Linked DNA regions of Sus scrofa. The protein of the gene in region 1 interacts with the protein of each later gene in a pairwise test. Links are inferred from orthologs where the notes say so. Each region holds a gene or a part of one and is shown on either strand. Other genes may lie near its edges.

Region 1 (3,909 bases):
AGAGAGGATCTGATTGTGTTACCAAATTTAGCAAATAAAAATACAGTCCTTCTGGAGTTCTCAACGTGGCGCCGGGGAAACGAATCCGACTAGGAATCATGAGGTGGCAGGTTCGATCCCTGGCCTCGCTCAGTGGGTTAAGGATCCGGCGCTGAGGTGAGCTGTGATGTAGGTCGCAGAGGTGGCTTGGATCTGGCGTTGCTGTGGGTGTGGCATAGCCTGGCAGCTGTAACTCCGATTCGACACCTAGCCCAGGAATCTCCATATGCCGCGGGTGCGGCCCTAAAAAGCAACAACAACAATAATAATATTACAGTCCTCCTAGTTAAATGTGAATTTCGGATAAATGAATAAATTTTCAGTATGTCCCAAGTATTGCATGGGATATAGTTACACTAAAACGTTACTCATTGTTTATCTGAAATTCACATTTAACTGAGTGCCCTGTATTTTGCCTGTCACTTGGACCTCCCGACCACCCTGAATGGCCTCCTCCATTAGACTGAAAAGCCAGCGCGCGCAGAGTCCCAGGCAAATTCTGTTCTCACACAGTAGGCACTTGATGTATACTTTCGACAGACAGAACTCGGAGACGGCGAATGTCATCGTTTGCCCTTCTTTACAAATGAAAAAATTGAGCAGAGCGAGGCATGGGGTCTTTAGACCTGTATCCTGTTCGTCTTCCCAAAGTATATGAGCGCCGCCCTCCCGCTCCGTCCTAGAACCAGAGAATTAGTCGTGCGAAAGCGTCCTGCTGAGATCCCACCCGTCCGGTGCCTGGAATTCCACCATCTGCGCTTTATTCCATCAGCCGCCGCTGTCCTGGGTTAACCTGAAAGTAATCTCTGAGACTCCCCTCTGGCTTTCGGGGAGCCATAGACCAACCGAACACTCAACTCTGCAGCAGCAGACCTGGGCCAGAGTAGCCCAGAGGGGCGAGAGGACTGTGCTGGGGGTTCTAGGGAAGCTTCCTGGCAAAGGGGACCTTGGAGCTAGGCACTGAGGCTGAGCTTGTCAGAGGAAGAAGGGTATACGAGGCCATGGAGACAGCGGGAGGAAATCTAGGGAGGGGTGAGAACTGTAGAGTTCCGAGAAAACTAGAAATCTTCCCAGAAGTATGGACAAGATTTTCCCAGGGTCAGTGCATAGGTTCCCCGGAATTCTCTCCCGGTCACTGAGATGCTCTTGCTTCGCCTAAGGCTATGTAGTGGCCAAACGGGACTCAAATCCTTTCTTCTCCATAATTCCCACCGCCCTAAGCCAAGCCCTGTTCTTACCCCCACCCTCTTTTCCGGTATCTCAGATCCCTGCTGCTCTAGGATCCCAAAAATTCTGTCTAATGTTGCAGGGGGAACACCATTTAGCTGCACCCGGAGTGCTAGCACCCTGTCCTTTCCTGGAATCAGCCAATAGAAGCTAAGATCTTCAGTGGGTGGGCGGTACGTCTTCTACGGGGCCCAATGGTAACCGAGAATTGTTGAGCCCTTTACGGATCACGCCGCGAGGTGGGCGGGGCTAGCCCCGGCTGGGCGCTGCCAAGGCTGGTCGCTGATTGTGAATCCATGTGGCGGGTACTATGGACCCTGGTAGCCCGGGCGGCACGTGGGCCTCTCAGGTGGGGCTTCTCACTTGGGGGAGGGGGTGTGACGGCGTAGGGCGCTGCTTGGGGCCCAGATCCTCTCCCTAGGATCTGGAGGTCCAGTTCCCTTTGGCAGAGCCGTATTTTTGGTCTTCTTCCAAGGCTCTGTCCATCCCCCTGCCGCAGAGCCCACATGTGGATCAACTTCTCTCAGACATCTCTATTCAGTCATCTTACGGCCTCAAACCTTCCAATCTTTTCATCCCCCCGGCCGCAGAACTTACACTTGGGGCATCTCCTGACCATCTAGCCTTCGATCCACCTGCCACTCTGGCGGCAGAGTTTCTCAGAACACTGACTCTCCTCCTCTTCCAGTTCCAGGCCGTGCCCGCGCCAGAGCAGTGGCGCCCCGGCCCTGGGTCCCGGGTCCACTATCTTCGCACTGAGCTCTGGCCAAGGCCGCTGCGGCATCGCTGTCATTAGAACCAGCGGCCCAGCCAGCGGGCACGCCCTCCGGAGCCTTACGGCGCCCCGGGACTTACCCCCGGCCCGCAAAGCCTGCCTGCGCCTCCTCAGCGACCCCTGCTCTGGGGAGCCTTTGGACCGCGCGCTGGTGCTTTGGTTTCCAGGTGAGGGACTTCAGATCTGCAACCTCATATAGCTTCTATGACCCAACTTCCTCCTTCCGGACTTTTACCCAGGTGGTATCCTCCTGACACCTATCTCCTCACCATACTAGGTCCCCAGAGTTTCACCGGTGAGGATTGCGCGGAGTTCCATGTGCATGGAGGCCCAGCTGTGGTGAGTGGTGTCCTGCAGGCCCTGGGTGAGTCTGCAGCCTTGGGTTTAAGGTGTGGCTATATACCAGTGGGCCTGGATAGGAACCAAAAGGGGCTTAGGACCCTGAACCTTCCTGCAGGCAGTGTGCCAGGGCTGCGGCCAGCAGAGGCAGGCGAGTTCACCAGGAGGGCATTCGCCCATGGGAAGCTGAGCCTGACTGAGGTAGAGGGGCTGGCAGATCTGATCCATGCAGAAACTGAGGCGCAGCGGCGGCAGGCCTTGAGGCAGCTGGACGGGGAGCTGGGCCACCTCTGCCAAGGCTGGGCAGAGACCCTCACTAGGGCAAGTACACCATTTGCTCATCACTTGCCTGTCTAACCTGCATGAGAGCTTCCTGTGAGCCCAGTCGGGCACCTTGGGCCGGGCCAGACCTGGGCACACTGGGGGGTGGGTTCCTGGGTGATCACACTACCCAAACTCACCTCTTTCAGGCTCTGGCCCATGTGGAGGCCTATATTGATTTTGGTGAGGATGACAACCTAGAGGAGGGCGTCCTGGATCAAGGTGGGTCTGCCTGGGGGTGGGAGGTGGGGACATCTGGCATCTCAGCCCTTAGAGACCCCCTTACTCTCCCTCCTGCTTTCTTCCATCTACAGCTGACAGCGAAGTGCGGGAGCTAGAGGTGGCATTGGGCACACACCTTCGAGATGCCAGGCGTGGACAGAGGCTTCGCTCAGGGGCGCACGTAGTGGTTGCTGGACCTCCTAATGCCGGCAAGAGCAGCCTGGTGAACCTGCTCAGTGCGTGGGCAGGGGGGCGGGGCCCGGGGCAGGGGGTATACTAGGAGCTGGGGTACTGAGCTTTTAGGGGTGAGCAAGGGGCCAGGGAGGTAGAACACCAGCCAGCTCCAGCCCTGCCCCCGCCTCTGACCCTACCCCACCCCACCCCCAGGCCAGAAGCCTGTGTCCATCGTGTCCCCTGAGCCGGGGACCACCCGAGACGTGCTGGAGACTCCCGTGGACCTGGCCGGGTTCCCTGCGCTGCTGAGTGACACGGCGGGGTTGCGGGAGGGCGTGGGGCCTGTGGAGAAGGAGGGCGTACGGCGCGCCCAAAAAAGGTGGGCAATCAGGGTGGTCGGAAGGGGAAACAGGGCCCTTCCTCTGCTGTTTCAACCCCTTGCCTTTATTTTTCATTTTTCCTCAATGAGGAAAGGCCACTAGACCTCAAGTGGAGAGTCTGCTATTTGGGGAGGGCAGGTTTGTAACGTTCTGCCTCTGTCCCTGTCCCCACCCAGTGCTCGTAATGGCTCAACTCTGGGGTCCAAGCTCCATTCTCTCACTCCCCCAGGCTGGAGCAGGCTGACCTCATTCTAGCCGTGCTGGATGCTTCTGACCTGACCTCTTCGTCTAGCTGTAACTTCCTGGATACTGTTGTCATCCCCACGGTTGCTGGGAGCCCCCATGGGAGCAGCCAGCGCCTCCTGCTGGTGCTGAATAAGTCGGACCTGCTGCCTTCTGGGGGCCCAGACCTCCATCCTGACCTGCCCCCCT
Region 2 (3,909 bases), on another chromosome or scaffold:
ACACATATGCATTTGAAATAATCCATTGTGATAGATATTTAAGTAGTTTTCAATTTTTTCACCATTCCAAAAAAGTAGCAATAAATATTCTTGTATAGACATTTTCTGTGCAGTTGTCCCATTTGCCTCCTTGACATTAGTTCCTAGAAATGGAAATTTGAAATTTTGTTTCATATTGCCAAACTACACTCAAGAATAGTGTATAAATTTACAATCACTAAATTTATTCTGGTAAATGGATCGAGATAGGGATCTTTACCTTTTTTTTTTCCACTTTACTTTTTGCCAAATGACTAACCAGTTGCTTATTGAATAATCCATCCTTTCCCCACTACTTTGAAATAGATTTATTATACTTTTTTGGCATGAAGGATATCTATATCACAGTAAGTGAAAAAATCAGGCTCTAAAAATGCAGGTATTCTTTGATCAAATAAAATTTTTTTTTTTTAATGTGTGGAGGTATAGAAAAGCTAAGAAGGATCTTAAACTAGCTCTTTTTAATTTCTCATGGGTAGATGGTACTTCTTTGCCTAGGAAATTCTTCCCCTCTTGTAGCTAGCTCTCTTTACTCAGATAAGTTCAATAGGAGGACAGCCAAGACGTTTTAGCTTGAAACTTGGGATGGGGGAACCGGGGGGGGGGGGGGGGGGAGGCAGCCCTCTGTGCTACCTAGGTAAGCATGCTCTCAAAGAACCCTGTACTTGCCATATTACCTATAAACCATCCTGTACCTTTTTGCTTGAATTCTTGTTTTTTTGTTTTGTTTGGGGGGTTATTTTTGGCCACAGAAGCAGCATGTGCAAGTTCCCGGGCCAGGGATGGAACCTGAGCCATAGTCATGACAACGCTGAACCCTTAACTGCTATGTCACCAGGGAACCCTTGCATCCTGTTATCTAAATTACTTCTTATTTTTTTTCCTCTAGACTCTAAGCTCCATGAGGACTGCATACGGGTCACTCTTGTTCATTCCAGAGCCTAGCACAGTATCTGGCAAATAATCTCCACTCATTGAGCTTTTACTGTATGCCAAATACTGTGCTAGCTTTCTCCAATGATTTCACAACACCCTATTATCGTCTCCTGCAGAGCACGAGCAAACAGATCGTGAAGCCTGTCCCACAGGCTACTCATTCCCAGACCTCTCTGCCTCTTACCGCTACACCCACTATACGGTGATCAAGAAATATCGAAGAATTACAGCCTGGGATGCTTGGGAATCACTTGGAGATGGCAGGCGGATTGCAGCCCTGGACTGTGGTTGGACTGAAGCCCTTTAGCTCCGCCCACAACCCCAGACCCTCGCAAGCCCCGCCCACTTCGCTCCAGGCCGGAAGGGAGCGGCAGGGGCGGGGTGAGCTTCCGGGGGCGGGGCGGGACCGGCCCCGGTTAGCAGGCTCTGGCCGGAAGTCGAGAGGTTAGGGGATCCGAAGACGCCGGCTTGTGACAGGGAGAGGGAGACGGAGGCCTGTGTGGAGGTTGCCCCTCCGTCCCTTCGCTCCCGGGGACCCTCAGGAAAAACCCAGCACCCCGGCCCCGTGGCCAGCCCCTTCCCCCAGGCTCTCTCCGCTCGATTTCGCCACCGTTATGTGGGAAGCGAATCCGGTGAGTAGCCGGGCGGGACTGGGCGGGCCGATGGGCGGGGTTGACGGGAGAGGGCGGGAGGGGTTCCCGGGAACTGCCCCCGCTACCCCGACGGCCGCGCCGGCCGGCTGTTGAATTTCCGGGCGAGAAGAACCCGGCCCTGGCGGCTCGGGCAGTGGAGACGGCCCGGTGGGTCCCCAGCGCCGTGCGGCTGCTCTGTCCCAGTGATTGATTTTGACTCGCTGCGGTTTCTCCGCCCTCGTCACTCCACCGTCTTTTTCAACTTTGCCTTTGAACCTGTTTCTCTTCCTTAGCCTCAGGTGTTCCCACCAGCTACCCCCCAAACCCAATCTAAAGCGAGGGAACTAGCCCCTCTGGGCCCTGAGTGGGCCTCAGAGGAACCGCCAGGGCTGGCTCCTTTTCCCTCCTCGGGGGCTAGCCATTGAAAACTGAGGTGGGCCGAGTGTGAGTTCTAAGTCTCTAGATGGTGAGGTTCTTAGATTTTTTTTTTTCCACTGGACAGAACTGATGACCTGGAATGTTTCAACTGCAAGTCTTGTGTCTTCCTCCGGTATTTGCATTGTGCCTGCGCTTGTTTTTGTTTACCTTGCTTTTATACATTCATTTATTTCATATGCAGCCTGCAAAGAGTGGAATTCCTTTGCCAAGAGTATTCCATTAACCTGTTAGAGGTGAAATCGCCTAGTAAGAGGGCAAATGGACGCTATTTACGCCTTTGAATTCAGTGGAAAGATGGCAGAATCACATATCAGCAAATTGTTAGCTTTAACATGTGCCACTACCCCATGTACTGAGAAAACTTCCTAAATTTACTTGAATAACCTTGTTTTCTTATTTGCAGTAACTCATTTGATGTAATCAGCACTTCCCCCCCCCCCATTCCTGGAATATATTTCCAGATAAATTGATTTATCAGTAAATTCTCTTCTGTTTTTAAGTTTTTATCCAGTAGAAACTAGTCTGTTGGTCTGGATTTTTTGGTTACATATGCTGGTTCCATCCCAGGCCACTGTGTAACAGTGGTGGTCACTAAGACTTTTTTTTTTTGGTTCATACATATAATCCTCTAATATAAAGCCACATCAGAGGAAAGGAACTACTGGCGCTTGATTTTGGCAAAAATAATTTCAAATTGTGACAGTGTGCTCTCTGATTATATATTCAGTTTCACTATCAGTTTCATTAGTAAATTTCATTTTGTATTATTATATGTATGTATATGTGTGTATATGTGTTTGTGTGTGTATTCACTTTTTATTGGCAGTGCTTCTCTTTCTGATTTCTCCATAACAAGCCCTTTCATCATCCCAAGGACATGTCTTGCCCAGTGTCACATATCTTAAATACTTCACTAGAGTATAAGCTCCACGTGGGCAGGCATTTTTGTCTGTTTTGTTTACTACAGTGTCCTCAGACTCGGGAACAGAGCCTGGCATGTAGTAGGTGCTCAGTCAATATCCGTTGAATTAACAGAGGTGATTGCATCAGTACTAGAGAGAGGCTTTTGCTCCTGTTATTCAGTCCTCTCCTCCATCACCTTATGTCTGCATTGGCTGTTGGATCACTTGTGTGCTTGTAAGGATGATAAGAGCATTAATGAGTCTCTTGTATATTTGGTTTGTTATAGCAGTTATCTCATTTCTTTGGAGGGAATGCTGAGTTTTCTCTGCCATCCCCCTAATGATTTTGCTTGATTTCCATGGAGCAGGCTGTCTTTCTTTAGGGGTGAACCTTCCACCTACAATCCCACATTCTTCTTTGGCCCTTATTAAGCTCCTCTACTATGTCTTAATGCTATTGTGTCTTCTTTCTTACTGATACTGTTATTCTTCCTGTGAAGGTATGAATGCTGTCAATAAGGACAGTTTCTGTTTTTTTGAAACACAGTCGACATTCTGCACGTGAGCTTCCTCTTGTAATTTGTTAGTTTCTTTTAATAGAAGAGGCATCTGGATAATCTCTTCAGCCGTGCTGGTGGAATGAGAATTAATTTTAATGTTTCCCTAAGCCAAGCACAGTTGGGAAGATTAAAAAAAAAAAAAAAAAAAGCCCACCATGCATCCTAAAGATAAATACAGATGACTCTTGTATTACCCACCAATTGAAATGACTGTTGACCATTGCTTTCCGTTGAGTGATATGATAAATTCCGCTTTGAGGAGGAAGGCCATAGCGAACCTCATTAATGGAAGACTTCTGCCTAAGTTCTTCGTGTGTTTTTTTGGTAGCATCCATAACCTTGAGCTGCCACCTGTAATCTGCAAGTACACCTCCTATTGCACATATGGCTTCTGTTTGGTAC

What was found.
Region 2: the proteins of GTPBP3 (region 1) and PARP11 interact in binary tests that used the Homo sapiens proteins (3 or more experiments, as listed by UniProt). The two-hybrid records come from large-scale screens. The link is inferred for Sus scrofa from reciprocal best matches to the Homo sapiens genes GTPBP3 and PARP11.

What each region holds. Positions count from the first base shown.
Region 1 is NC_010444.4:60,352,958-60,356,866, reverse strand, and holds the start of GTPBP3 (tRNA modification GTPase GTPBP3, mitochondrial), read left to right. Parts: upstream 1-1,463; 5' UTR 1,464-1,562; coding exon 1,563-1,615; intron 1,616-1,954; coding exon 1,955-2,208; intron 2,209-2,318; coding exon 2,319-2,701; intron 2,702-2,850; coding exon 2,851-2,923; intron 2,924-3,015; coding exon 3,016-3,159; intron 3,160-3,310; coding exon 3,311-3,476; intron 3,477-3,706; coding exon 3,707-3,909. UniProt on the Homo sapiens protein: GTPase component of the GTPBP3-MTO1 complex that catalyzes the 5-taurinomethyluridine (taum(5)U) modification at the 34th wobble position (U34) of mitochondrial tRNAs (mt-tRNAs), which plays a role in mt-tRNA decoding and mitochondrial translation.
Region 2 is NC_010447.5:66,442,125-66,446,033, forward strand, and holds the start of PARP11 (poly [ADP-ribose] polymerase 11), read left to right. Parts: upstream 1-1,358; 5' UTR 1,359-1,589; coding exon of another isoform or gene 1,590-1,607; intron 1,608-3,909. UniProt on the Homo sapiens protein: Mono-ADP-ribosyltransferase that mediates mono-ADP-ribosylation of target proteins. Plays a role in nuclear envelope stability and nuclear remodeling during spermiogenesis. Inhibits the type I interferon activated signaling pathway.